3 linked regions of the Astyanax mexicanus genome follow. The protein of the gene in region 3 interacts with the protein of the main gene of each other region in a biochemical or structural test. Links are inferred from orthologs where the notes say so. Each region holds a gene or a part of one and is shown on either strand. Other genes may lie near its edges.

Evidence for each region.
Region 1: the proteins of cryabb (region 3) and cryba1a form a complex in vitro, tested with the Homo sapiens proteins (2 studies listed by BioGRID and IntAct, with this or other methods). The link is inferred for Astyanax mexicanus from reciprocal best matches to the Homo sapiens genes CRYAB and CRYBA1.
Region 2: the proteins of cryabb (region 3) and cs form a complex in vitro, tested with the Homo sapiens proteins (3 studies listed by BioGRID). The link is inferred for Astyanax mexicanus from reciprocal best matches to the Homo sapiens genes CRYAB and CS.

The regions. Positions count from the first base shown.
Region 1 is NC_064425.1:25,252,150-25,262,984, forward strand, and holds cryba1a (crystallin, beta A1a), read right to left. Parts: upstream 4,837-10,835; 5' UTR 4,751-4,836; intron 4,145-4,750; 5' UTR 4,117-4,144; coding exon 4,078-4,116; intron 3,964-4,077; coding exon 3,845-3,963; intron 3,565-3,844; coding exon 3,423-3,564; intron 2,783-3,422; coding exon 2,640-2,782; intron 2,342-2,639; coding exon 2,194-2,341; 3' UTR 1,841-2,193; downstream 1-1,840. Other genes in the region: crybb1l3 (crystallin, beta B1, like 3), read left to right, coding at 7,636-7,701, 7,815-7,933, 8,093-8,225, 10,056-10,198, 10,323-10,491. UniProt on the Homo sapiens protein: Crystallins are the dominant structural components of the vertebrate eye lens.
Region 2 is NC_064420.1:6,229,188-6,239,833, reverse strand, and holds the start of cs (citrate synthase, mitochondrial), read right to left. Parts: upstream 4,123-10,646; 5' UTR 3,973-4,122; coding exon 3,922-3,972; intron 1-3,921. UniProt on the Homo sapiens protein: Key enzyme of the Krebs tricarboxylic acid cycle which catalyzes the synthesis of citrate from acetyl coenzyme A and oxaloacetate.
Region 3 is NC_064408.1:26,483,509-26,493,774, reverse strand, and holds cryabb (crystallin, alpha B, b), read right to left. Parts: upstream 4,845-10,266; 5' UTR 4,631-4,844; coding exon 4,439-4,630; intron 3,559-4,438; coding exon 3,436-3,558; intron 2,772-3,435; coding exon 2,568-2,771; 3' UTR 421-2,567; downstream 1-420. Other genes in the region: hspb2 (heat shock protein beta-2), read left to right, coding at 6,004-6,097, 9,466-9,881. UniProt on the Homo sapiens protein: May contribute to the transparency and refractive index of the lens. Has chaperone-like activity, preventing aggregation of various proteins under a wide range of stress conditions.

The sequences.
Region 1 (10,835 bases), on a different chromosome or scaffold from region 3:
TATTTCTTTATATATTTGTTTTCCTACATGTAGTATGTAGTTAATGTAGTAAATGTAGTAAAATCACTGAGAAACCAAGAAGTATTAGATCTAAATGTGGGAAGTTAGAAGAATCTATAGTATAAAACATATTCTGGTTTGTTAAATATGGTTTTTGTATAGCTTTAATGTCTTCAATATGAAATTTACAATAAATAGAAAATGTCCAAACTTGTGATTTGTACTAAAAGTTACTTTTAATTTTTGACGATTCAATAATTTTTTTAAAATTATTAATTTAAAAAACAACACTTTGAATGTATGTAGCAGATCCCCTCTATTATAGCTTTTAACAAACGTTGTTATAACATTTCTGTAAGACTACATTATCTAAATTAATTTATTGTCTAACTATAGGCTAAAATGAGACTCAACCACAACATAAATACAATAATAAATTATTTAAATTCGAAATTAAAAGATACATACATTCTAATTTATATAATATACACATTCTATAATATGATATTATCTTATGCTATTTTATCCATAGAGCTCTCAAAAACGAAAATGAAAATTCATAACCACTAATGCCTGGTGTCTGCTTGAGTGGACAGTTACATTTTTACTCCTACAATAATGTATATTGATGACGGACCAATTTCCTCACAACAATAAATAAAATACTGAATTAATCATTGGTTTTAACAAGCCTTCAAATGAGTAAAATTGACTTTTGTTACTGTTTTACATAATAATATATATTATGTTGACTTATGTGTTGTGCTACATTTAAAATAAGTCTGAAATAATGTAATATTATGATTTTGTGATAGTAGTAATGTTCATCATCAGCCCACACACTTACTACAACCAACCACCACTCACATACATGTATATACAGCTCTGGAATAAAATAAGAGACCAATTATAAATGATGAGTTTCTTTGATTTTACCAAATTGGAAACCTCTGGAATATAATCAAGAGGAAGGTGTATGATCACAAGCATGAAGGAGTGCAATGAAGTTATCCAAAAGCAGTATGTAAGACTGGTGGAGGAGAACCAGGTTCATTAAAAACCAGGGTTATTTCACCAAATATTGATTTCTGAACTCTTAAATCTTTATGAATATGAACTTGTTTTCTTTGCATTATTTGAGGTCTTTAAGCTCTGCATCTTTTTTGTTTTTTTCTCATTTCTCATTTTCTGCAAATAAATGCTCTAAATGACAATATTTATATTTGTAATTTGGGAGAACTGTTCTCTGTAGTTCATAGAATAAAACAACAATGTTAATTTTACTCAAACATATTCCTATAAATAGCAAAATCAGAGAAACTGATTTAGAAACTGAAGTGGTCTCTTATTTTTTTTCCAGAGCTGTATATAAAGATGATTTGACTTGATTTGAGCTAAAAAATAAATATATGGTTTATATAAATACTCTGGTTTGTTCATTTCGACCTCTGACTCTATAGGTGGAATTAGATGTTAATTATCATTAAGCACATCGTTGGCCGGCCACCTTTTTTAATTTTTAATTGTCCCAAATTCTACCTTAGCCCCCCTATTCATAAATCTCTAGTGATGACCCTGGTAAGAATCAATCAATTACACAACATTCCAACATGACAAGATACAAATCCACCCTTATTCAGATTTATTTTTTGCTTCTTTTTTTTTTAAATCCACACTTGCTTACAGGTTGATGTTGGGTTAAGACAGGGTTTTGTAGTTTATGTATCTTTCTCTAACTTTGCAAAATTAGTTACAAACATCAATTTGTTCATATTTATTTTTTCTTTAACAGCTTTTCAAACAAAAAGAAAGCATTCCACGCACTCTCACACAGCACAGCGATTTTTTGTTGGTACCCTTTATTGATCGCTTTTTGCACAAATCGCACTGTGACAATGATAAGGAGCAAAGCCTGAGTCACATCACTGCCCCGTTCACAGCCTCTGCCTGCTGGGGGCTCTCTCGCTCCCTCCTTTCTTTTGTTGTGGGGGGAAACGAGGAGAGAAAAGTGCTGTAAACAATTGCTGTGTAGCACCAGATCTTCAGCCTGTGCCATGAGGAGTCTAACTGGGCTGGCCACAGTTGTAGTGGATGGGTGGAGGAGAGGAGCTGGAAGAGGATGAGGAGGTGGAGGTGGAGGAGGGAGGGAGGGAGGAGGAGAAGAAGGAGGAGGAGGAGGAGGAGGAGCGGTCCTTACTGCTGCACTCGGCGGAGAGACTGCACCTGGAAGGTCTGAGCGTGGGAGCCCCACTCCCTGTAGTGTTTGTACTCTCCGCCGTGGCGGTCACACTCCAGGATGTACTGGTATCCACGATAGCCAGGGTACTGGTAGCAAACCCAGCTGAATAACAGAGGAAGAAATGGAAGAGAAGAGGTCAATAACATCATAGTTTTGGTCTAGAAGCAATGGGGCCTTTGTTTTGGCCCCAACTTTCTCAAAGTGCTCATATGTATGGTGTTAATCTCAACATTAATATCTGTGTAAAATATCCCATACTGTATTCACAATCTTTGTCTGTGTATCAATACAAATACAGTGCAGGATCTTTGTAAAACAAAAGCTCACTGTCTTAAACTGTGTTAAACTGTTTTGTCAGTTGTATTTTGGTAGTTGCATTGAGTTGTTTCATGATACTCACGCCCCACTTTGAACCTGCATGGATCCAAGCTCGTTGTTGGGCCAGCCCATGGCCTGAAGTGAGGGGTAGTCATCGCACATTTCCCACTGCCGCCCAATGAAATTCTCCCGCTCAAACACGGTAATCTTAGACTCCTTATGGTTCTGCACAGATCAACACAAACCCAGTCAGCTCACTGTTGTCTGCAACCTTTCGAGCTGCTTTGGAGGGATAAGTAGCAGTGTCATTAAAGATTAAACATTGAAAATACAGCTATGGAAAAAAATTAAGTGACCACTTCAGCTCTGAATCAGTTTATCTGATTTTGCTATTTATAGGTATTTGTTTGAGTAAAATGAAATGAATTGTTGCTTTATTCTATAAACTACAGACAACATTTCTCCCAAATTCCAAATAAAAATATTGTCATTCAAAGAATTTATTTGCAGAAAATGAGAAACGACTGAAATAACAAAAAAGATACAGAGCTTACAGACCTTAAATAATGCAAATAAAACAAGTTCATATTCATAAAGTATTGAAAGTTAAGAGATATTAGTATTAGGTGGAATAACCCTGGTTTTTAATCATAGTTTTCATGCATCTTGGCATGTTCTTCTCCACCAGTCTTTCACACTGCTTGTGGATAACTTTATGCCACTCCTGGTGCAGCTTGGTTTGATGGCTTGTAATTATTTATCTTCCTCTTGATTATATTCCAGAAGTTTCAATTAGGTAAAATCAAAGAAACTCATCATTTATTGTCTTTGTTTATCAGGATGTGCAATAGAAACTCAGACTCACAGCACAGCAGACTGGGCGGAAGGACATCAGCCTCTCGATATGGTAAGCATTGCTGCCACTCCACGATTCCCAGCGAGGGTAGTCTCCTCTCTCCAGGATAAACTGCTGCCCACAGTAGCTGGAGTGCTCATAACCAACCCAGCTGCCCAAACACACAAGTTCACTTAGGTCAGGATTCTTAAAAAAAAGTGTTTTTTTAAATGCTAAAAAACATCAATGTAATATAAAGAAATAATTTTGCGATTATATTGTATTGGATCATTGAAAGGCCTGGTTTTGTATATTATCTAAATCCACATAGCACTTATCTAGACCATCTTTATTACTGTAAACATGCTGACAAACATACTGATTTATAGGCTATACTGTATATTTTGAAGCTCTAATATGACTACATATTGGTGTCAGAAGGCATGACTTACGCTCCACACTCCACCTTCAGGGAGCGGATATTATCCACTCCACACTCCATGATGTTCTGGCAGGATGAGGTGAACTCCATGCGCTTGCCCTGGAAGTTCTCCTGGTCATATACTGTGATCTACATGTGGAAACATGGCAGCAGGTTTTAAGAAGTTTGAGTACATTGGATTGGATCGGTCATTGCAATTTGTTCTTTATGCATTATGTATGTTTGTGCCTCTTGCCCACTCACCTTCCATGGTCCCATTGGCATGGGATTAGTCAAAGCCATTCTTGCAATTTTCTTAGTGCTGCTTGACCTGAAAAACACACAAGAGCACAGAAGAGTATACTATATACTATATATATACTGTATATTTAAAGAGAACTGCTATGCATTGATGCATTCAGATGTCACAAGTCCCGAAGTTCCAAAGAATATAAAGATATAAAGCAAAAGCATGTATTTACTATATTGCCCCAATCTTTTATCCCATATTAGTGTTGATCCTTCAGTCTACATTTTACAAAAGTCATTAACATTTTTTTCTATTTTAATCTAAATCATGCATTTTGTAGGTCTTAATGAAATAATAAAAATAATAAAAATAGTTGGTGCATGTAATGTAATAATGTGCATTATAATTAATCAGCTGGGTTTTTTTGTTTTTGTTCTTGGCAGATTGCATATCTAAAGTTTTGCTATAATACTTCTATTCTTGAGATGCATTGAGTTGCATTGTTTTGCATGTAGGTAAAGTGTCCATACATGTCTCTCAAATATTAAAAATATTAAAAGTGTCCATGCATGTCTGCCTGTTCTGTTCTGTTTGTTTTGGGCCACTGTGTTGTGCAGATTTTTGCAGATCAGCGGAAAAAAAGAGCTAAAAGGAAAGCGGCTGAAAGGACCGAGATGCATGGCTTACCTGACCTACCCAACAAATAGCTGTGTGCGTTCAGGGGGGCTCCACACAACGGTCTCCTGACCTCTTGCTGAGGGCTCTATTTATACATGGCTTGGGTGAATAGGGAGCTAGGCCACAGGCTGGGCAGCAGTCAGCACTTTGCTCCAGGCCTCATTGTTCGTTCCTGAGCCACTGGCTTTACCCAGTCCACAATACCAACTGTAAGGAGGGCACGGTGCCCACTGCGTGCTGGCACCAGGCTGCGTGCCAGGCTGACGGCTTCCATACATACTTTTTTTTTTACACATGACGGGTTTCTGGTGGTGGTCAGGCGAAAAACACACGGATGGGGGCGATGCTAACTAGATAGCAACTGCCAGACTTTCCTCCTTCAGAGTGTTTTAAGTAAATCTAAATCTAAAAAAATTAGAGCATAGAAATAAAAATAAAAAATCAATATAAATACATTTGATATAAAGTATAGTCTACTTTAACAAAGCCTCTAACAAGAACATACTATACAACCAAACCACAGAGCACTGGTTCACAGAGCAGCGGGCCGGTGCTCACAGCTCTCTAACCTCACACACGACTAGTGCCTCAACTGACCTCCAGCCTTTACATACCGGTACTCACACACATGCACACATGCATGCACACACACACACACACATAGACCCTTACGTGTGCAGCTATTCAACATCCATGTCCTGCCCACTCCTTTGACTGTATGCAAAGCAGGCAGCTGGACGGGGCTAGGTGGAACATGAGGAGGAGTCTGACTAGGTGAAAGAAAAGTGAGATGCAAATAATTCCTTTAAATCTAAAGATGATTCATTTGGACAGTTAATTGATCATGAAGGGTAAGTGGCATCCGTATATTTTTATTATTATCATTATTATTAATCATATATTAGACAGTTTTGAAAGTGTCAAATGTGTTGAAAGTGTCAAATCGTGTTTTAAGTGAGCATATTTTAATGCAGTTTAGGCTTAAAGTTGCTAACTTTTACTATATAGTGCTACTTTTACTATATGGTATATATAGGTGGATGCTTGCTACATTAGGCCAACTCATTACGGTAATACTATTCAGGCTTGACGTTCCTGTTTTGCACAAGATCATAGAAAGTGAACTCATCAAAACAGCTGCAGGTATTTTCAAGTCCACCAACATACACACAACAACAACAACACTGAAGCATCCCACTGAGCTGAGCCCAGTGGAGTGAACTGTGACTAGCCTACTGAGGTCAGCACATTGCTATCAGTGCTACAGTGAGAGAGAGAGAGAGAGAGAGAGAGAGAGAAAGAGAGAGAGAGAGAACGAGATAGAGAGAGAGAGAAATGGAGGGAGGCTTTCTGCTGATGGAGGTGGGTGTCCAGCAGAGTTGTGGAACAAAGCGACCAGCAGAGTCAGCAAGGCCACAGAGATAAGCTCGCTCTCCACGCCCTCCCCAAATTCCCATCACTTTTATCCAATAGCATGGCAGCGTGCAGGCCTAATAGCTCAGCTGGGATATATATGTATATATAGAAGCCTTCCAAAGGCCGGACCAGCCACTTCATTTGGGCCTTGCCATCTTTTCCTCTGCCAGCACTCCTCATACATTCCATTGCTCTGTGCCTGACTGCAGCATTTTGGTGAGATTCAGGATGTGGGTGGGTGGGAGGGTAAGTGGGTGGATGGATGGATGGATGGATGGATGGATGGATGGGAGATTCTGAGGGAAGGGACCAAATTAAAGCACAAAGAGGACACCCCTTCATGACATGAGACGCATACTGTATAAGACATGGGATTAACTGTGTTTGGACTGTAGTATTCAGGATGAGGTTTCTTCCTACGCTCCTTTGGGCTGATCATTTGGAGGAGAAAACTTATATGGCTTGTTTGAAGCTTATATGGCAATGTGTTGTTTTGTTGCACAGGCATAAGGGAAACAGAGGACTGATAATGGAAAATGCGTTAAATAAATTCAGGGAAAAGCTGTTATATGCTAACCCACTGTTGTATCTAAGGTTTTCCAAATATATTTATTTCACATTGTTTGTAGTTTTGATTGGTGGTTTAACGTGGCCAAGCAAAGCCAATTGGTGGCCTAATGTGGTCTAATAATGCCAAACATTTGGTAATTCAGATGCAAGATAATTTCTTCATCTTCTATTGCTCATATTGCTATATGCTAATACTATGTTCAAATACTGGGACAAGCCGCTTACTTGGAGAGCACAACTCGTCATGATCTCTCTGGGTAACTAGATGGTGCTCTCTCCCATCATTCAAATTGTGATGCTGGCCTGCACAGTCGTCTGTTGGCTGATGTATCAGAGCTAAAAAAAATATATATATAGACTTTGAAGTATCGTAGGAGGTATGTATCAGTTCATACCTTCCTCGAAGGGGGGGGAGGGGGTTGTGGGGGAGGGGGTTGTAGTTATAGGAGAGTGATAGGAGTGCTAGTTAGTGGGTACAGAAGGAGATAGGAGAAAAAAAATAAAGATATATATGTATATGAACTTATGTGCAATTTTACCTAATGATTTTACTAAACTTTATCTTGTGTTGGATTATGTGATTTACTGTAATGTTTTATTTAAATGTGTCCAAATTGGGTCTGAATCTGTGTTTTGGTGGGCTCTGAGTGTGTGTCCACAGGGAGATAGTTTGTTAATAGATTTTTCCAGTGATTAACGTTATTTTTTTGTTTTCCAGTTCATGAGGATGATTTTTTTGGCGATGACTAGCGACATCAAGATTATTCTATTGTTTTCTGGTGTTATATTAGTGGTTGATGAGAGTTGGTGTTGAGTGAATTTGGGTGGTTAAGGCATGAGATAGGAGGGTGATATGTTTAACCTTTTAATCTCACTCTCTCTCTGTGTCTATGCTTGCAGCTTCAGCCATGTCTCATACTGCTGTGCAGGGTAGTGTCGGGAGCCATTCTGCCATGGGGATGAGCAGCCACAAAGTAGGTCCAAACTTTTGTGGAAGAATGATTTCCCTCTGTTTACTTCAAAACCCCATTACCACTGGATTGCACCATGTTTCATTAATTCTGATCACTCTCCTGTGTGTGAGCAGATATGTCTGTTCGAGTGCGAGAACTTCCAAGGTCGCAGGATGGAGATAAGCGGGGAGTGTCGCAATATCTGTGAGAAGGGCCTCTGTCGCGTCCGCTCCATCAGAGTGGAATGTGGACCGTATGTGTTTAGTAACTGATATACATAAACACTATAAGACAACTAGGCTGTAGCTTTCCTGCAGCGACTCCTCCTTATACAGTGATATATTTATATTAGTACCCTTATCTTCAGTGTTTTATGTGTAAACATGTATTGTGTTTTTCTGTTCATCCATAGCTGGGTGGGTTATGAGCAGCAGAACATGTGCGGTGAGATGTTTATTTTGGAGAGAGGAGAGTACCCTCGCTGGGACACCTGGTCCAACAGCTACCGCTGCGATTGCTTCATGTCCGTCAGGCCAATTCGCATGGTGGGTGAAAGAGAATGAGCGGGTGATGCTTTAGCACATTATTAGATTAGGAAATTAGTGCTATTGTTTAATTTATCACCACATTTTGTTAATTAGTTACTTAGTAATTTAGCTAGCTAGCCAGTTATGGTTATTTAGCTTGTTAGCTAGCAAGCTAGCTAGCTAGTTAGCTATCTAGCTAGTTAGTTAGTTAGTTAGTTAGTTAGTTAGTTAGACACCCAAAATTGCCTTGTAGTTGTACATTTCTGTCTAAAAGCATTTTCACAAAATCAAAATGACAAAATGTATTTAGATTGATTTTTGGGCAAACATTAACGTTACCATGATTTCAGCTTTAGTTTTAGAGTAAAGTTATTTAACAAAGTTGAATCAATAAAGTAAAAACTATCACTCTTACCAAAAATGTTCAATAGTAGATTCTTATTAGCAGAGATCCAAAATGTAAACATACTCCCCATCATTGTATTTCAAAATATACAGTTCTCCTTCTGATTTAAACTAACTAAAGCTGGCCTTTTCTTTTTACTTGAATTTGCCACCTCTTCTAACAATAGCTGGAAAGGGTTTTTGCCTTTGTTTTGTAAAGTTTGTCCTATCTTGCTTGAGTTTATCTAGGCTATGGCCTCCTAAGTATTAGAGCCAGAGTATAGATAACTGTTATAATCCTCATTTATGAATATTTCTTACTATTTCTTAGGCTTTTAGGAAGTGTAAATAGAGCTCTGAACTGCTCCTGATGGACACTTTTTACACTTACTTTTCAAATCTAATCTAGAAAGTCTAGATTAGAAGAAATCTAGCAGTATCTAAATTGAAAAAGCATGTCATTGTCCAATGAAAAACTAACATGTATCTCCAAAACAGTTCCTTTATAAGAGAGAAATAAAACCTTCCTAATGGAAGTCAATGTAAAAAGTGTTAATTTAGAGTACTTTTGGAGTATGTCTTCTGGTCTATTCATTAAGAAATTTTGGCACAATTTAAGGGACAGCTTTTGTGTTCAAATAAGTAGTAAACTAAACATCTAAAAAAAAATGGAGATTCTTGTTTTTCATTGGGCTGATGTGGTTGTCTTTGATGTCTTTTCTGACTTTACTTTTCATGTACCATGGCTACAGCTCTGGAAAAATAAGAGACCACATAAAATTGATGAGTTTCTTTGATTTTACCAAATAGAGATCTCTGGAATGTAATCAAGAGGATAATTATCACAAGCCATCAAACCAAGCTGAACTGCTTAAATTATTGCACCAGGAGTGGCATAAATTTATCCAAAAGTAGTGTGTAAGACTGGTGGAGGAGACCATGCCAAGATGCATGAAAACTGTAATTAAAAACCAGGGTTATTCCACCTAATATTGATTTTTAAATGTTAAATGTTTATGAATATGACCTTGTTTTCTTTGCATTATTTAAGGTCTGAAAGCTCAGCATCTTTTTTGGTATTTCAGCCATTTCCATTTGCTCTAAATGACAATACTTTTAGGTAGAATTTGGGAGAAATGTTGTTTGTAGTTCATAGAATAAAACAACAATGTTCATTTTACTCAAACATATATAAATAGCAAAATCAAAGAAACTGATTCAGAAACTGAAGTAGTCTCTTAACGTTTCTTTCAGAGCTGTATATGGTAAATTTGCTATATAATGGTGTTTTAAGCAAAGTGAACGTGACATTGTTTTAAGATTGATCAATGATAGGAACTTTTAAACTCTTTAAATCTTTTAAAAACTTATCACATACAGGTAAGGTTAAATAATTATCTGATCATATACATTATGTATAATTTTAATAAAAATGACTTCAGGTCTTTTTCACTGTCCTTGTAGGACCCACAAGATCATAAGATCTGTCTATTTGAGTGTATGAACTTTGACGGCCGTAAGATGGAGGTCTGCGATGAAGACATCCCCAGCCTGTGGTCTTATGGCTTCCAAGACAGAGTAGCTAGCATTCAAGTCACCGGCGGAACGTGAGTCACTGTCTGTATCATGTAAATAAGCAATGACCACTGTGAATAATAAGCTACAGTATATATCATCGTACAGAGTTCTTTTTCATGAATGCACTTCCAAATGGAATTTTATTCTATGTAGGTGGGTTGGGTACCAGTATCCCGGCTATCGAGGATACCAGTACCTGTTCGAGTTTGGCCCCTTCAAGCACTGGAACGATTGGGGTGCCAACCACCCCCAGATCCAGTCTCTCCGTCGAGTGAGGGACATGCAGACACATCGCCGAGGCTGCTTTGATATGATTGCATAATGGACACGGCAGGGACTGACGTATGGCGCAAGAAGAGGCTCTGTGTGAACAAATCATCTCAATTCATCTCTTGGCATCTGCAGAGCCATTCAGAACAGAGCGCGGCTACTGTGGCAGACAGCTCTATTAGATTACAAAGGAATATAACATGTTATGGAGCAATGGGCCACAGTGTTGCTTCTGGTTGCTGATGACCTGCAGTTCCTTAGGGAAGAAGAGAGTGGGAAAAATAATTAGTGGCATATTCTGTTCAAACTCCTAGATAACAACTGGGGCAAATTGATCATGTGATGGATCATGTAAGGATCATGTAAAGACTGCTTTTTATTAGTTTTGTTGACTTG
Region 2 (10,646 bases), on a different chromosome or scaffold from region 3:
CTCAACATGAACAGTCCTGAAAATAATCTAGAAATGATCCTCTGGTGCTATAGCACACTTCATACTAAGCCAAAGTACACCTGATCCAACTGATTAGTGCATGAACAAGCATTTCCTGTGTTTAAGGAAGTACTGGAGCAGGGAATTGACAAAACATGCAGGTGGAGGAGTAGGCCTGCAACTATAACCAGTTTTTACTGGACAATAAATATAATGCCGCAGAAACAACTAAAATAAATGATTGTCTTATATTAGTGTCATAAAATAATCTTAAAATGACAATGAGAGCATAACACATTCTCACATGCCTTTTTAAAGAGAAATTAACTTTTAAATTATTAAAAATAGTTAAGACAGATTGAAATTCTGTTTTGCTACATTCATGCATTTTTATTTGCTTAAACTACTAAAGACTCAGTCGCTCCTAACTGAGATTACACGGTAGCAGAGGGGTATTATGTAATAAGCCTGGCAGCTTCTGTTGACCTGTCTACATAGTAACTTTAAACCTTACGGCCTCATGACTGCATGCGAACTAAAACTGTGAGCCATGATCTCCACTTCAGTAGACAGAAAGCGCATTAATTAATGGTAAAACCTGACACAAATCTACTCTATATTAAAATATATTCAAATGTTTCAACTTTTGCACTCTTGTCTTCAGGCTGTATTATTATTTTTCTTCAAAATGCATGCCAAGACTGCAAAATAAAATCAATGCACCCTGGTTTTACAACAGCAAATTACATATTCAGTTACAGTGACCTTGAAGAAAAAAAACAGATAAAACAAGGTAAAAGGGTCTTAAACTGAATGGAAACTAGTGTAGTATGAATGTCTGTGCTCATATATATATATATGCAGGCCTCGTGATCAGTTGGCAAGGGTCACCTGCATTCTCAATGACCTTTGACTTACATTAGCTAAAAGAGCTGCAATCATACTGCACCATATTCAAAGGGAGGCAGCATGGTTTTCCAAAAGAAGGACATTCCACACACAGCTCACAGATGTACCACAAAGCTACAGGAGCAGATCGGGTGACTATTGTGGCAGGTTCAGGTGCAAGACCAGAAAGAGAGCACTGAGGTCAAACAAGGTCATTTAATAATAATAAAAAAGGAAAAAATAAAAGAAAATTCATTTAAACTGGAATCCCATAAGCAACAGTTACACAAATGTTATTAGAGATTCAGCAGATATACATTACAGTTACAAAAAAAAAAAAAAAAAATTACATAATTAGTTATATTACATTATAACCACTACTACTAACCAGACCAATTCTAGATCTGCAGAGTCATATGGAGAACATGTACCAATGAGCAATATGACAATATTTCCTTGTAAAAATGTCTTCAATTAAGCGACAATACACTTTTTTTTACTAAGTGTAAAGAACACTAACCAAATTGTAACACCAATTAGTCCTGTTTTACTGGTTAAACAGAAGGATATTTTAAATAAAAATCACCATCATGTACAATAGTAGGAGAGTATTTAAATACCAGTTTATAAAACGGTTGCTACTAATGCATTTGGATCACGATCACATGTAAAATGTCGATTTTAACAAATATAAAAAAAAATATTTTCTATATAAAGAATTATGAACATGAAATAAAATGTTGCCAAATTATACAAGGGCAGGCTGGGGAGTACAACAAAAGCAAGAGAAATTAGCATGAGAAGCAAACACATGATGTGTCATGCACTTCTCTATACTGTAATAATTCTTTACATAACGAGTGTGATATAGCACATGCTTCACACCCAGCAGACAGACGTATGGCTTCAGTTAACCATCAAAAAGTACAAAGATCACGTAGGAAGCACAGCAATAACCCTGATAAGGACAGAGTCACTCAAGGAGCAATCAGTCTGACAGCCAAACAGCTGTTCATCAAGGCCTAACTAAACTAGAACTCAGACAAGAAGCAAAGCAGGCCAACACAGCCGTGATAAGCAATGACCTCTTTAGGTCAAAATTGCTCTTTACAGCCTTGATGAGGAAAGGAACTACTTTGCACATTTTCTTTTACACACTTCGTACTGTATATGCTTTCGGTGTTGATTAATGTTAAAAGAAGAAAGGCACATGATTCAGGACTTTAAACACTCCCTTTGAGAACAAAGAAATTGCTTCCTTTTTAAAAGGTAGTTTAAGGACTTTAAGTGAAGGGCATTATCAAATAGCTTAGTCCCAGAGTAAATATAATGTAAAGTAAAGCTACAGCAAGTGGTTTGGACTATATAATCATGGAAAAATACACTGTCAGAACCCATATGCTGGTTCATGGTATGTATACCATGCCTTAGCTTTTACTATCTACCACTTTGCTACTCACACAATAGCAAAAAGTAGCAAAAAGGCTGAAATTTTATTCAGCTCACTGAAACCTGACAACATATACGAGTCTGATGACAAGAATTGTGTTTCGGCAATGAATGAGACTAGAAGTTCACATTGTGTCTATAAATAAAGTCTACTGTATTCAATGGCCAGACATGTAATGAATCAAGTCTAGGTTCACATGCTCACCAATGTTTCGGCCAAACAAAAATATTGGAAGGGAAAAACTGAAGGTCATAAACTGTTGTCCTCTTCAATATTATAACAGTTAATATCTGAACTAGCAAGCTGAAATGTATTACAAGAAAAATCTAAGCTTGCATTGTTTTTAGCTTCTTTGTAGGTCTCTTGACCCCACTTTGTTTTTAAAACCTCTACATATATTTTTTGTTTAATCTGATAATCTTTATTGGTATTCTTAATTTAGCTATTTTTCCTTAAACGTCTTTATCTCGCTCTCTCTTTGTTGTAAATGCTTGGCTACATTAAAATAAAAATAAGGGTCACCCTCAAAATACCTGAGTGAAACTGATATCCATACCAGACAGGTTATATTGCATTTTAAACATTTGAGTAATTTTAGTGATTAATTATTCATTCAGCAAAGGAGGAAGGAAATGATAGCCAAATGCTTATTATTAGAAAGCTGATAATAGCAGCTTAACTTATTTAAACAGAATGGTCACCACTGTCAACCATACTGACAGCTCTCTTTCTCACGGTCACCTTATTATTACACGTTAATTAATTAGAACTATAACTAGGTTAGCTAGTTGTGTGGCTACAGGCCAAAGAAACACATTAGTTGGCTAATATAGTTAGCTTGAACTAAGCTAAGCTAACCTAGATATGTGTTACATTCTAGCTAGTCAGCTAACGCTAGCTTTCCAACAGCAAACTCTCTTACTCACAGCAAAACCTTGTAAAAAAACCTTCAGATAAATAGCTAGATGTTTATTTATTTATCTAGGTTACTTAGTTGACGTGTGCCAGTAATGTAAAATGATATTTTCCTGAGCTAAGCAAGGCGGTTAACTAACACAGTCTCGCCGTTAGCTTCCTAACCTACTTCAGTAACGTTAGCTGTCTATGTAGCTGCTAACCGCTAATATTAGCTTAGCTAGCTTAGCTTGTGTTAAATAAATGTGAAAGCCTCAGAGGACAACTAGCCTTGTTAGTTACCCAGCTACCCAGGTCACTAACGTTGGACACAGAAAAGACGATAAAATAGCCGCAGAAACATACGTTTAACCTTATTATTAGCGTTAAAGTGGTTTAAAGAAATGTAGAGGAGAGAAGAGGTTTAGCTAACTAAACAGATCCTTCCATAAAGAACTAACTAAGCGGCTGTGACGTATCCAGGTCCATAGAATGAGAATCCACTCCAGGATTTTGAATTTACAAGTCTTGTCTGTAGTGTTAGCTTGTTCATGCCCAGCAGCACTGGTTCAGCAGTTGGAGCAAAATCCTGGAGTGGATTCTCACTGTCTGGATCTGGACTATGCCATTTCGCTACTCTGCCCACCGGCCTGTTCCCGGAGAACCTCGGATAAGTTGTGAAATCTCACCTTGGAGCTGAGCAGCCTCGGCGCCAGCCTGCTGATAGTGAGGAAGGACATGTTAGCGGTCTGTGTTTATAAATATAAGTGGTTGGTAGTAGAGGATCCGCTGCCTGTGCGCCGCGGAGCTGGCTGAAGGTGCCCCTCTGATACGGTGGCCGCAGTGAAGGTTGAAGAAGGGACTCGGGCCCAAATGTAGCAGCCGCACTGTGGAGCGAGCGGGGCCTGATGAGGTGGAAACGACGATGTGCAACGCTATTGGTCAGGCCGGTGTTCAGCATAACCTGATTGGTGAGTATCGGTCTCGCAGTTTCATGCAATTGGTAACGTCCGAAATAGCGCAACTGTGCTTTTTTATTATAGCAGTTCTGTAAGAAACGCCTGAGGAAAAAGAAACATGGGTGCGTCCGAAACCTATGACACACTATGGGTGTCTGGAACGCGAGAGATGTTGACTTGATGCCTTGCCTCCCACACTTCCCAGGTATGCATAATTGAGTTTAAAATACTTCTGTAGAAGTTGAAGTATCAACTCAAGCTTTGTATTTTAGTAAAAGTGTAAAAGTGGTTTCAAAACTACTCAAAGTGTAAAAAGTTAAAGTAATGTAAGGGGAAATGTAATTAAGGCATTTAGCAAAAGCACCATGTTGGATTATTGACTTCTTTTACAATCTGGTGGAAATCTTAATTAGACGTCTGCCATATCATATTGAATGCAATAATAAATACATTAAACATTTTGTTACAGTAGTGTATTTTTGATATTACTTTTTTAAATTAAATGTTTTGGCATATCACCAAGAATATCACAAAAATACCTTAAAATATTGTGATATTATTTAAAGGCCATATTGCCTTATGGTTCACTACTAGATATGAGCGTTAGATGTGTGGTCAGTAAATGTTAGCATTTTAGCCCCCAAAAAAACAGAAGGGTATCGTACTAAAATTAAATGAAGACATGACCAGGTGCCTTCCTTCTTTAGAATCTAGCATTTTTTACATTTCAGGCATTTTCCGATTATTTTCTTGGGATTCAGTAACTTAATTTAATGTTTTTTTGGAGTTTTTTTGGAGTGTGTCTGCCTTATTTGGAACTTATTTATGGCTTTGCCAGTTGTCAGTGTTGATAAATGTCTAAAATTAGCATCTTTCTTTTAGACCAAAAACACTGGTTGCTAACAGGGTCAATAAACAAGGTGTTCATGTATATCTTGAATAATCATTCTGACTTGTGAAAAAGCATCAGATTTACACAGCCTAACCACAAATTAGCCAGTTTAGTTTATCTTAGCCATGGCTTTCTGTTGAGTACTACTAATCGATACGTGCTATTTAGTGGTTCTGTGCCACATAGCTATGCTAAGCTTCTTTCTTTCTTTCCTTGTACTCATTCAGTTCACACTTAAATACAGTTTGTCAGTGAGTCAGTAAGTGAAAATGGTTTTAGTCTAGTCCGGCAACAATTTGTCTGTAGCAGTGTTTCTCAATACTGGTCCTGGGGTCACCCTGTACTGTACATTTACTGGATATCTTATTTAACATACCCTTGTTTGAAATGGCTTATAAACAAGCTAATTAATTTAATCTGGTGGTATTGAAACTGTACAGGTATTGTTTTAAAAACAATGTTTATAATCACAGTACCTTGAAATTAAGTCACAGTAAGTCGATAAAGTAACAAACGAATATGTAAGATAGGGAAATAGATTGCAACATTGCATTTCCACAGAATTAATTTTGCAATCTGTTCCCCTATCCTACTTATTTTTACTTGTTTTTACCTTAATGACTCATTGTGATTTAATTTGAAGATGGCAGCTCCCAGAAAACTACCTGAAGGTACACTGTGTATAAACAGTGTTTTTTAATAAACTACCTTTCTCTACCGTTCTCAATGCCTCGTTTTAAAATGCCAGGACCCTTGGAATTCTACCAATGAAGTGTGGAGCTACTTTGAGCTGGTTAATAGTGTAAATATATATATATATATATATATATATATATATATATATATATATATATATATATATATATATATATATATAGAATATTTGTATAGAAAACCATTATGAAGTGTTCACTCTGTCTCAAATCACTCCCTCTCCCCTATGTAGTACATTTGCACTTTGTTAAATAGCAGCATCTCCATCCAAACAGTAATTTGTTTTTAATAATGATGAACTTCTGCAGTTCTAAGTCATTCAATGATAACCTATAGTGACACCATTATAGTCTTTACTGATTTTGACATGGTCTTTGTAATGGTCTTTGTGCATGTAGTCCATCACTAACAGGATGAATCATGGAGCACATCACTGCTCATTAAATGTCCACAGTCCGCCTTTCTCTTTCCACTACCACCAACAATATGCTAGGTTTAGGATTTAAGGGCAAAGTTTAAGATTAGCTCTAACCCTAACAATAATCTTATGATAAACTCCAACTGTGTGAATTACTTTTTCGCACTTCTCTAAGATACAGTACACTTTCAAAGGAATGTGTTTTGGATGCAGCCAATTGTGGTCTTGCAAAACTAGTCTTGCCTAGTCTTGTTTAGGTGAATGGTGAAACTAGAATGGATATGTTTGTGCTTTTGCTTTTGTCTGGTTTAGCAATTTGATATATGGTGTAAAATGGGTTTTGAGAAAGATTTTATGTTCCTTAAATTAAGATATTATTTCTAGCTCACATATTGGCAGCTAACTGAGTTTATCCTTGCCTGTGTTGCATCTAGCTTTCTCAATGGACATTTTTATAAATGACTCTTGGGCTGCCTAAGGCATCCTACATCACATTTATGCACAGATGTTGCGGCTGGGCCTGTAGATCCTGCTCTACACTTGTAGGTTGCTAAAACTGCTGTCCCAGCTGCTCCCATAAACGCTCGCCATTAGTTAGATTTTGCAAATTGGCAAGCCAAGGAAATGTTGCAATATAGTGGAGACATTCCTGTCAGTTGGAGACCCTGTCAAGAGAGGCAACACGTGTGGCGATAGGAGGTCCTGCACATATTGCTGAATTGTTGGTGTCCCTCGTATCACTACTAGGGGTTACTCACTGTCATATGCGATGATAATCAGATCATCACACCAGCAATTGGGGCTGTCAATTGGTGTCACTCCACAACAAAGGCAGGATTGAAGCGCTCACTATGAAGCCTCCATACTAAAACAAGGCTGTTACTGAAATCCAAACATAACCTGGATTTGTCTAATGTGTAGAGGGTTTCTGGACTGCTAATGGTAGCTGGCTAAAGGATGGCCTAAAGGGCAGGGAATTTGTTAAAATTACCATCTTGCTTCTCTTAGTCTAATGATGCACCCTTTTAAAATCTGTCAATCAATTCAGAAAAACTTTAAAGATCTTTCACCAAGAGGTAAACTACCCAAAATTAGCCTCTGAGTGCATATTTATAAGGCAGCCAGTGTGCATCAATTTCTTTTGTCAATTAATGTACTTGCTAAAACAGCATAACAAACAATATCAATACAAGAGACACAATAGATATTGTGAATATTTCTAAGGTATCTGTTGCTTATTAGGAACATGAGCAATATTTAATATACTCACCACACTGTACACAAATATGACACTTTATTGGAAAAGGGTCCTTAAAAACACACATCAAGGCTGAAGGACACTTACCCCAAACAAACTTCATGCAGCCTATCAATTTGCATGTCTCTCCTAATACATTTTTCACATTGGATTTTCCTGTATCAATGACATGGCAGCATTCGGATGCATGTCATTCTTATTCTTGAGTGCATGACAAAGTACATTTTATATCAGAAATTCACACAGTCACAATAAAAAAAGTATTGCACAATTAACAAATAAGAATAGTTTTACTTAGAAGACAAGACAGGATGGAAAGAAAGATGGGTAGATTGTGACAATCCAATCGTATTTAAGTCTCATTGTGGAAATTATAAAAAAACACTAGGAATGACCACATTAAAAGCGAACCTAATAGGTCACCAGTGGTCAATTATACCTGTTTTGGGACCACATATTTACTTAAGGCAATTTTTACTGAATGGCATTTTATTGCATTTTATTATTTCAGATAAATGCATTTTTGGCCTCCCACAATAAGTATGTTATCCACTGTTATCCATGTTATTTTATATTTGTCCATGGACTTAGTAATCTTTCTTGCCTTAATATTAGCCGATGTGTTACTAACTGAGAAGAGCCCATTAACATGAATATGCCAGTATTTTTATTTACTTTAAAGTGACTTTCTGCAAGTTTTGGGAATGTACCGACCTCTCTGGTGAGAGTGTGTAATTACAGAATACACGTGGAAGCATATTTTAATGCAGGTTAATGTAATACATTTCTGTATGAAATTCTGCTTTTAGTATAATATTTGGTCATTTTGTTTATTTATGAAAAACTTTCAGAATCTATAAACCATTTACATCCAACAAACCTACCAGACAACTCAGTTCACATTTTTATCACTGTTTTTAGAATGAATATATTAGATTTCAGGTATATTAATGCCAGGACACTGATGCCATTTTCAGATACCAAAATAAATTCACTCTCCCATCTCTAACTCACCATCTTCTAAAACAGGGTTTTTATTTATTTTGCTGGATTTGTCCAAATTTAATGTCAGAATATTCTTAATAATTAAAACTTTACTGAGTTGAAAAAATGGTCTAATTTTTGTGCTACTACTGTATTCTGTCATTATAATAATGGTATAAAATGGTGTTAACATATCAATAATATAATTTATGGCCATGTACAACTAAAACCTGGACTTCCTCACACACTAAATCACAAGACTTATTCACCAACCGTTTTTAAAGTTTAATAAAATGTTTTATTGGGAATTGGGATTTGTTCAGTTAGTGAGTTGGATAATGGATAATGGGATTATTATAAGAACAGAAGTTTGAAATACGCTGTGCTTTAAAAATGACAAATAAAAACTGACATTTACTATAGATGAATAAAATAAACACGTAAAAAAGGAAAAATTGATACATAAAACATAAGGAATTTTTATCTTATGAAGAAAAAAATAATTAGATCAATAAAATAATACAACTATTTAAAATGAATAAAAAATAATTTATATAAAATAAAAACAAACAAACAAAAAAAGAATAATATCAGTTTCAGTTTCAGTTTCAAATCAGTAAAACAGCTCACCAAAACCTCAACCTGTCCAAATATTGGACAATAATTGATTAACTTTACAGGCCCTCACTCATTTTCATTTATTTAACTAAACTGAGTTTTATATTCTTATATTATTATATTATTATATTCAGCCTCGCGCTGAATTCAGCTCCGCGCTGCCGGAGAGAGCGCCCGCGCCCGCGCCAGAGAGAGAGAGAGAGAGAGACAGAGAGAGCGCCCGCGCGCGCGTCAGAGAGAGAGAGAGACAGAGAGAGCGCAGCGCAGCGCGGCGAATTTTGCTTACCCTAGACTATATATAGTATTAAAATGAAACCCCTTAAAATCAAGAGGGCTTCGCGACCCATCGTGGATCTTTGGCGACCCATAGGTTGGGTCGCGACTCATAGGTTGGGAACCACTGTGTTAGATGGTATGGCAATAAAACACCTAAAAATTGTGGATTAGGCATGGTTTGCTTTAAAAATGTACTTTTATTCATTTTTTCTGAATTTTCTGTACTGAAGCAAAGCACTGCCACTGTTAACTGATGTACCCTTATTGTAAAGAGTTTTGAAGCCATTGTGATTTGTGTAGCCAAAGCTGTGTGTAGTGCAAAGAAATAGATTAAAATGTCATTTAATTACGTTTTTTTTTTTTGTTCTTGTTTAATCATGTCTACTGTTATTATTATTGTATGTGTATTTATTTTTGTTCTACTTCACTGAATACCTCACTAAGGTGTAAATGGTGCATTTGTGTGTTTGTCTTCCCTATTTTTCAAAAACAATAAAAATGTACTGTTCCAGACAAAAGTTTGGACACACCCCTTCTCATTTAATGTTTTTTTCTTTCATTTTATTATTTAATTCACTCTAGACACTGTAGATTTTGAAGACATCAAAACTATGAAGGAACACATATGCAATTTTAAAGTAAAGCTTAATTATGTTTTATAATAATTATGTTTTATACTTTTATATATAATTATGTTTTATACTTTATATTCTTCAAAGTAACACCTTTTTGATGCCAACTTTGCTCACTCTTGGCTGATTCTTTCAGTCGGCTTCATGAGGGTTGGATTTTTGTGTGCTTGTAAAATGAATACAGTGTAGAAAGTTCTACAAAAAAACAAATATTACCAAAGGATTCGTTAAGGACATATTTAAGTAAATCCTAGGTACTGGTGAGTAAAGCCCATTGTTATGTGAATTTAAAATGCAAATTAGTCATCAAATTCTTAGCACAAATATGGTCCCAAAAGAGGTTTACCTACTGGATGCATCTCTTGTACACTGTGGGCCCTAATTTAGCGATCTATAGTCATCAGCTGCGCACCTTGCGGCTTGATTTAGGGCGTGTCAGTGTGTCTTTGCTATCGTAACGTCAGGAAAAGTACACTAATCTTGGGTGTGTTATGTCCTGTATTGCCAAGATAGTTATGGACGTCTGACTGCTGTCACGGTTCAAATCAATCAGTGGAGCGCCTGTGTTTTCCGCTGCCAAGCTAGCAATACGCCAGAAATTTACCTGAACACAATTGATTTTCAGACAGCCACACCCATCGGCGTAGATATATTCACAAGCAC
Region 3 (10,266 bases):
ATTATTTCCTGTAACAAATGATTGGGACACATTGCAGTTTTTAACTTGACTGATAAATACAATCCCTGCATCACCCACTGAGAAACTGTGGCTGAATCATCAAAGAATATGAATTATTCTGACATGCCAAAAGTCACAGGATAGCAGAATGACAACAGATGATGAAGAAATTCCTGAATATCAAGATTATTTAAAAGCAAGGTGAATACAGTAATTAGTTATAGCACCGATGGGCAACATATAAATAAATAATAATAAATAATAAGGGTAATACTGGCAACTGAAAATAATGTCCTTTAGGTTAACTCACATTTGTTGGAACTGTAATTTTATATCAGTTGCTTATATAATTTATGAATACTGTAAAACACTACAGTAAAGTGTTTCTAAATTAACATAACAAAAATGAGTCACAGTGAATCTTTGAATGATCACAGAATTTATTGGATGTTTATAACCATCATTACACACACATGGAGAAGTGGTGTTTACACATTGTTTTAGTGCCATGAATCACAAGGAATGTTGAAGCAGTGAACAGAAACAGCAGAAGACTGGAACACTGAGCCTTTTACACTGATCTGAGACCTGTTTGTTCTTATTTTACACTTTTAAACATAAAGGTGCTAAAAAGGTTCTTGGAGCCAAGCTCATTTTTGTTTCCCCAAAGAATATTTGTTGAAGAGATGTGAGTGTGAAGAACCTTTATATTGGTAAAGAACCTTTTAAAGCAAAGGATATTTACGTGTTTATAGGGTCTCTTATACAAATATGGTTCTTTAGGGAAGTAAAAAAGGGTTCTTCTATGAGAGTGGTGTGGCTTTTTTCGTTTTCATTTCAGACAAGCAGAAGCACATTATCAGTTCCTGAAAAAACTCATGAGTTTATTAATTGTGCTGCTGGTTGGTTAGAATGAAAATCTGAGAGTGGAATAGACTATACATCACTGTTCTATGGTATTAGTTAAAGAACCTTGTAGAATGTTTAAAAGCAGTTTTAACCCCAGGACAATGTAAAAGACCAATCCTAACCAAGAACACATGAAACAGCTACTTGTGTGTCCCCCTCACTTGTGCCTTTTAGTTGATATAATAACTGTGGTCCACATTTACCTTTGCACAAAGAAAGTGTTTCCAAAAGTGTATTACGTTGTGTGCCTTGTTACAACATCACATCATTTCTTATTGAAGCAGCTTTCTCAATAATATTTTTGCAGACAATCTGCCCTGTAAAAACTAATTTCAACAAGTTAATGCCTTGTATGTGTGAGAATCCCGGGAGGTAAGGGAGAGGTGGGATGTCTGCTTTTGGGAGCATTGCTGTAAAAATAGATGGCTATTATAGATAGTAAACAACCTCCAATCTCTTTTTTATTGTTTGCAAAATGTAGTATTATATATTTTATGTAGAATATGAGCAAATACTTGATTGAAACACATTAAAATATGTGAAAAAGTCAGCAGACACATTCTTTAGGAAATCCAAACACCTCTGAATAATTTTTAACTAATTATAATCTCTTCCACCAAATTCCCACATCCCCATTTTTTTTCTATCTGCACTCCAAGGTCTATTGCTCCAAACCCTGACTGCATTTCTCAGCTGTAGGCTGTATAAGAAGAGCCCTTCACTTATGACAGGCTTTTATGACAAAGTGGCTGAGAAATGGAGCCAATCTAGACTTTGGAACGCAGCTTTTCAATATCAAACCAAACCTCATCATATTTGATTCACTGCTCCATTTATAACAAGATGTTTCCAGACGCCATATATCAATCCATCCAAACCAATGAAAAGTCATGTCTACAGAATCCCACAGAAACTACCAAAAAAAAGAGGTCACTTTCTTTCTATAACATTTCTCCTCACCTTGTTGCTACCTGCACTTGATCTTCATGTATCATCTGGTCCCAAGTCCATCATGAAAAGGAAGTACCAAATTACGAAACATACTCATTTTTCCTCGGCACACCACCTCCCACTTCACATGAAACGTTTGAAACCAAACAAACAACATTTTTTACCTCAGTGAAAATTCCCTCACAGTGTTCTTCCTCGTAGGCTAATTTCTTTTCACCGCTTGATCACAAAAATGCTCAAACATCCAGTCTTCCTACACTCAATCCCTCACCATTCTCTACTCCGTGCCACCATTGTTTGCCACTGACTGGCTGTAAAAGACAAAGAGCACTTTTGTTTGGCGTGGTTGTGGTTGGGATTGCTGAAGCAAAATGTGTTTTGCGTCCAGCGGCTGAGCGGCACAAACAATACTCCTGTGGTGTAATGATGTACATATCTCTGAGGACACGGTTTTGATGTGCCAACCGAATTAGACAATTCAGTGATCACTATTTAGCACAGAAACATGTGCTAGAACAGTTACTAGCTAGCTCAGAAATGAGCCCTTTGATTAGGACTAGCCTCTGGAAAGGCCAAGCCTCTAGAAGGTTCAGCTCAATGCTAGCACTGGCTTTTCCTCAAAGCTTGACTTGGGATGTGAAGGTGGAAGATAAGTGCAGGGGGACCACAGCGGAGGGGAGACAGAAAGGAGCAAGTATCTAGCAGCTTTACTTTTTCTGTGAGCCAGAGATAGCAGGCTTTTCTTCTCGAGTGATGGGAATGGAGCGCTCAGGCTCATCGGAGAGCTTGCGAGGGGCTGCAACCATGAGGATGCCATCTGAAGAGAGTGAAGAGGTGATACTGGCTGGGTCGACCCCGAGAGGGAGCCGGTATTTTCGTAGGAACTCTCGTGAGACAAACCCATGGTCATCCTGGAGAAAAAGATATACATTTACAGGCATTAAACAATGAATACTGACTGAAATATGATATTAGAGCAGTGTTAGCCAGACAAAACGCTTACATCAGAAGGTCAATGCTTGTAATAAGAGTGGACCAACTTGACAAAAAGGTTTGTTGGAGAAAAATTGAGAAAAATACCCCTTCCTATACGTAATAATTACAATATTAACTTATCGTATAATGTATGGACATCTGTTTTTGTTTTATTTATGTTTTATTTATTCAAGATATTCTAATTTCATTTCTATTGTCTGAATCATTAACAATTTATTGTTCTTTAAATGGGTTTAATTGCATTATTGTGCTATTCTATCATTATTCTAATCAGTGACATAAAATAGTCATAGAATTACAATAATATTGTTAATTGCACTTCATGGGACAGTATGTTGTCTAATAAAATCTCTTATCTTGACAGGCATACTTTTTTTATGTTTTTCTTGTTTAACCATATTCGATCAATCTAAACTGGTCTAAAATCTATTTAAATTATATTCAATGAATTACATCAAAATAATTAAATTGAATTAAATCTAATTAATTAAATCCAATTAAGTTAAAATTATTAACCAAATTCTGCAAGACAGGGGTACTCCATAACCAGAGTTAGAAACCACTGCTGTTTGTATTTACCTGACGATCCTCGTGTTTAGCATGAACCTCAATGTAACCGCCGTTGACCTTAACTGCCAATTCCTCAGGTGCAAAGTGTTTTACATCCAAATTGATGGTAAAACGGTCCTTTTCCATTTTCATCTATAAAAGACAGCACAAAACATGAATGTGTTTTGATTTCCAGTATTCAGTTTTATGTAGCTTAAGTGCTCCCTTCCAATTTTAAAACACAGTTTACATAATCATGATTACATGATTTGCTAGAAATAACAAGACATTGTTTAGAACTTAACATTATAATATTGTATGGCAGGGTTATTCTGTATGTGGACTACTGTTGTTTTTATTGTGGATATAGTACAAAATAAAAAAATATATAAACTTTTTGTATGCAAAAAACTGTTATCTGTTTTCTTTTCTTGCTCTTTAGTGACAGAGATGGAAAGGACTTCTATTACAGGGAAATCACTGAGCCTTCCAGCAGCAACATGTGCTCATCACCAAACATATTGATAAAATGGCATCTTTAAAATTGCTTCTTGCAAGGAAAAGTTGACAATGAACACCCTTTAAACTTGCCTGAGAAAAGCACAAAATAATTGTGCTTAATTTATTGTAATCAAGGCCACTGTAAGAGGAGTAATATGAGGTGACAACAAAACTACTCACAGAACACACATTTATATTGCTCATTTGTCCTGCATGGTCCTTCAGAGCAGTGGGAATGTTGTAAGATACACATTTTAATTTTCCTGTTGTAGGGTTTCTTAAGCTGTCTTCTAGATTAATGGTAATTCACCTCCAGGCAGGGAGCTCAGAATCCACAAAAGCAACCTTCTCAAATAACTTTTCCTTATTAGTCCCTGTGTCATTTATTAAGAGAACACCACTGGCAACACCGTTCTCCAGTATGGGGTTCTCCAGCCGAGGTTACCCTTTTGCCGTACATTACGTAGATTTATAGAGTTATAGAGTTATAGAATGTACCATGGAGAAATACACAGATGTCAGAGCTGCTTACCTCTGATAGCCCACTTTCCACCCAACTAGGTAAGCGGAAGAAAGAGGGTCGTGGGTAATACAATGAGGGGTAGGGGGTCAACATCTCACTCTCTGGGATATGCTCCCCGAAATGCTGGTCGAAGATCCGGCTGGGGAAGAAGGATGGCCAGAAAGAGCGGCGGAACCAGGGATGCTGGATGGCGACGTCCATTTCGTCTTCTGACCTAAGGCTAGCGTTGTCCTCCTGGAGAAAAACCTGTTGTCTGCCCAGCCTGCCCACTTATATACACCACCAGTAGCAGTCACAGAGCCAGGCCCAGCCAGCTGCGGATCTTTCTGGAACAATGATGTAAACTGTTTGATGGCCCCCCTTTCGTTGCGTCCCTCCCACTCTCCTCTGCAAGCTGTCTCATCCCTCTCTACCAGATACCTCTCTCCGTATTTATCTAAACCGGTGGTGTGATTTCATTCAGGCAGATGCCGGCCGGATTACAGGGCTTGCTCTGAATACCCATTTGGAAACTTTGCCATACAGAATCTAATGGGAGGTGCTGAGTGTAGCCTTTGGTTTTTTGGCTTTTCTGGCACAAAAACTGTGGACCAAGCAGCCTAGCTGTGTGCCAGAGCAGATTATCATGTTCATGTCCTGATTTGGCTTTATGTAGTTTGAGGTCTGAACCCCCTTTGAGGGTCTTTTGTCTTCGGCAGAACACCGGGCGCGAGGCCAGTTTGTTCGGTGGGCTGATGGTGAATGGTTGTGGGATCATTCTGCAGGGTTGAGCACCATACAGAGTCAATGTGCTTGCAAAGAAGCATTTCCCTGGTGCCCGCCAGCCTCAGCGGGCTTAGTCAAACTGGCACAAGCACCCGGCACAGTGCCACTTACGCAGTCGGCATAGCAGCACAGTCCGTCATCAGTCATCTCCTACCCACTCTGGCCTACCCACTCTCAGTGGCTGGTAATGATTGTGACCGGCAGTGTCTGGCTAGAATTGTCTATGTGTACATACACGCGTCTCTGGTAGAAACCCATTCAATGCAGGAGACCTACACACATATACTACAGGGCAGGGCAGGAGTCTTTAGCTTTCATGGTACATTAAACTAGTTATTGTTCCATGACTTATTGTATATTCTATTGAATATTATGCAGAATTCTAGATATGCACCGACATAACATTGACAGTACCCTTGGGTATTTAACTGACTTCCTGACCTTTTCACTTTTATGTGTATATGTGGCTGCCCCAAGTTGACAACTCATCCATTAACTCCAATGAGTCTCAGAACAGCTGCTAATTTACTTTCCTTTAGAAGAAAGCCAACCACTCTGAATAAAGAGACCCAAAACACTGCCCAGAATTATATCACTCAGTGTGTCTCCCCCTTTAGGCTATGCAACACCAGCGTGTGTGTGCGCCACAGGCTATTTCTGGACCCGTTTATTACCAAGGTCCAGGCACTAGGGCACAGACTTGCTGCCTCTCTTTTCTCTGTACTCTCCATTACAATCCTGCCTGTTTGTTGTACCTGAAAGGACTGCTACATTTTCACCAGCACTGGACACCCGGCCCATGCTTTAGCATGGCTGACCGCACCGTTCCCCATGCTTACCCCATGAGTATGAACTATGAGATGTGTACTCCTGCACGGATTTATGACCAGAACTTTGCAGAAGGTAAGAGAATCTTCAATCAAAAGTCAAGCTCACTTGTATTCAGATTGCTATGCTATTTGGAGGGAAGATAAAAGCTGCCAGCAACAATACATGATTGCAAATTAAGACGTGGATTAAGATGTGGGAAGTATTTATTGAGCTACACATATTGAAGTAGTGTGTAATGCATGTGTAATGTGTAAACAAGCCAGACGTCTCCTAACAGTCTCCTGCAATAAACTATTCCATGCAGCTTAAATTTTAACAATATTTCAACAAATTTTGCAGAAGAGGTGGAGTTTATAGCATGTTCAATAGAATTCCACACATTTTTAATCAAGGATAGGTCTGGTGTTGTGTTTTTTTTTTTTGGAAATCTCTTAAAATGGCAGTAGAATATGAATGAGCATTGTTCTGTTGAACCGCAGGGTGCATTCTGAAAAGGTATTGGCCACTGGTTGAAGGACGTTATTAATGTAACCCTGGGCATTTAAAACTGACTGTAGAGGTGTTCTGGTGACACCAGGCCCTATAGATGTGCAACACATGACAGCAAACTGTTGATCTTGGCACTTTCCACACATACGTTGGTTATCTCCATCCTTCAGCCTGTCACAACTACCCGCCAAATTTTCTTCCTGTCAGTTAATTCCTTCTGGGCGCAACTATGATAAGTGTCTTATAAATCCAGATAAATTGCTTCAAGGTGTTCTATCAATGGCATTATTTTTCATTCACAAGATATGGGCTACTCAATAATATCTTTAAACCAACAACAGCTGAAGAAAAAGTTTCTCTTTCATTTTGAATAAGAAAAAATTTTACTTTTTTAAACTGCATGAACTGCCCTACTTCTTCAACAGCAGACTTGTGATATCAGAGGATGAAGTTAACATGAGTTGTTTAATTGCCAATGAACCTGCACTAGAAGGGCCAACTGAAGTGATGACTGCCTGATCCACTATCCCCCATGACAGCTTTTTATACTGGAGGGAAATATAAGGCCCAGGCTAGGATTTATATTTAGAATACCACACATGACAAAGAGTCCAAGGCTACCACACAAAAATAACTGTCATCCACTGCTGGACTGAATATGAACCAATATCTCATATCCAGCACTGAGCAACCACAGTGTGTGTCATTAATGGTAGTATATATACATGAAGATAAGGGCGCAGTATATGATCAAAATAAAAACATGACGCTTGACCTGCGCTGCTGACACTGTTTGTAATTAGACCTGATGTAAGAGTTTCTGGTGTTTTATAGAGGGGAGGGACGTTCTATTTTTATGGTACTGTCAGGCAAACTCTATGAGGAAGTGAACTCAGTTAGTAGATTAACAAAAATCTAGATATGCACAATGATATCAGAAGAAGAATTATGTATTGCTTAAAACTGCTTTAAATGTTATGTCCACACCAGAGAGATGTTTAGACGTAACTGATATTTTAAAATTATATTGATCAGCATTTGAACAACTTAACTGCATTTGTAACACTACACAATTCAGTTGGGACAGTATACAGAATGCAAATAATAATAAAACACTGTGTTTCTTACATTTACAATTTTAATTGCATTACAATATGAACTGCTCAACTTCATTTCATGTATTAATGTACAGCTCTGGAAACAAATTAAGAGACAACTTCAGTTTTTTAAATCAGTTTCTCTGATTTTGCTATTAATAGGTTTATGTATGAGTAAAATGAACATTGTTTTATTCTATAAACTATGGACAACATTTCTCCCAAATTCCAATGAAAAATTATGTCATTTAGAGCATTTATTTGCAGAAAATGAGAAATGGCTGAAATAACAACAAAAATGCAGAGCTTTCAGACCTCAAATAATGCAAATAAAACAAGTTCATATTCAGAGTTTAGAAATCAATGTTTGGTGGAATAACCCTAGTTTTTTAATCACAGTTTTCATGCATCTTGGCATAACTTGGATAACTTTATGCCACTCCTGGTGCAAAAATTCAAGCAGTTCAGCTTGGTTTGATGGCTTCATCCATCTTTCTCTTGATTATATTCCAGAGGTTTTCAATTTGGTAAAATCAAAGAAACTCATCATTTTTAAGTGGTCTCATATTTTTTTCCAGAGCTGTACATCTATTTCTGTGTTTTAGTCCTGTAACACATTCCACAGAAGTTGCGACATTAAGACATTTACCGCTTTGCAACATTGCCATTCCTTCTCACAATATTTAAAAGACGTTTTGGCACTGGGCATAGCAAGCAATTAAATGGCATTATTTTGGTTAATTCTTGTTGCAACAATATCTTAAGACGTCTAACAGTAAATGGTCATCATTTTTGCATTTTTCTTTTAATTTTTTTTCTCACATTTTGTATTGTGGTCAAGGCAGTCCAGCACGATACCCTCTTATTCTGCACCCATGCCTTTGTTATGTGTGCAGCATAAGGTTTTGCATTGTCATGCAATGCATGGATGTCCCTTGGTATGTGTCGCAGGCCTGAAATGCAGGAATGGGTGTATATTAACAAATTAAATAAATATGACTACAGTGAAATAAATGCAAAGTAAAGAAAACTTTCTTGTTTTATAAGCATTTCCCATACTGTGAGAACTTTTGCCTGATCTGATGATGTAGTAGGAAAATCAGAATACTGTTCTGATTAGGGGTGTGACATATTGTATCGTAGACAATAATATTGCTAATATTTTTGAATATGGTGAACGATATTATACCCTGAAATATCATGCCATATTACCCACTCCTAATTATGACATCAAGGTGCTACTTTTTGCTGTTTTTAACAAAAGGACAATTCACACTGTTCTCATTTTCCATTATATATCTACTAGAGACAGATTATATCTGTCCAGTATCATTTATTTTACTTTAATCCTGCATATATGGAGATATTAGGAGTGCATTTTTAGTATCATGACATTCTGAATCATTGACTTCTTTTACAAATCTGATAAAATTCTTGTATTTTTTATATCTCAGTTATGGGTGTGCCATATAATAATGTATGCAATAGTAATATTTCATTTTCATTTTGTTGCAGTAATGTATTCTAGAATAGTGTATTCTTTTAATTTATTGTTTTGTCTTTTCGCCAAGAGTATCGTTATCACAAACAAAAAAAAAAACATGAAATACCGTAATATTATTTTAGGGCCATATCACCCAACCCTAGTTCTGCTAATGTCAAAATTCACAAACAAGCCTTTACCTGCTAAACCCTACACATACACACATGCATGCAGAATCTACTTGCAGAATATGGTAATGCATTTGAAAAACAGCAGGACTGACATAAAGAATTGAACACAAATGGAGCTGCTGGCTTTTACTTTCACTGCTAACCCTATCCCCTCTGTTGACCTCACCCCCCTATCCCCAGCCCTGTCCCCTCAGGACCTGATGGCCCCAGTTTTGTACCATGGTTACTACATCCGGCCTCGCATCAACAAGCAGCTAGAAAGGGGCTTCTCCCAAGTAAACAGCGACGATGACTGGTACCGCATTCAGCTGGACGTCTGCCACTTCACTCCAGATGAGCTCAATGTACGAACAGTGGACAACCTGCTGGAGGTCACCGGCCGCCACGCGCAAAGAATGGATGACCACGGCTTTGTGAGCCGAGAGTTCACGCGTACCTACATCCTTCCCATGGGCGTGGACCCACTTCTGCTCCAGGTCTCCCTTTCACATGATGGGATACTGTGTATTCAGGCACCAAGGAAGCTTGAAGATTTGGAGCCTAAGATTAATCAGCTCAAGATCAAAATGGACAAGAAAGGAGAGAATAGCAGCTAAAATGGCTTATTATAGATAAAGATATTTTTGCTTAAGGAAGTAACATTGGTTTTAGGTGAGGAACAAAGGTAATAACCAACCTACTGTACCTGATCTCATATCTCCGCTCACTTCCTCAAACAGCTTTGCCTTGGGAAAGTCCATGCAGTGGCAAAGAGTTACCACTTTACAATGGCAATATCTGTCTGAATTTAGCCCAATTGTTTTATTTGTGAAATCCTCTGTCTCTCTCACTAACATCAGTGGATTAAAGGTCATATCAGGGTCTATTTTTTTTGGGCTGTTGCTGCAAGAACACTAAGAAATGTCAGCAATGAAAAAGAACATTTGGTACAGTGCCACAGTTCTATATGTAATCTGTTGCACTTTTATTTTCTGATTCACT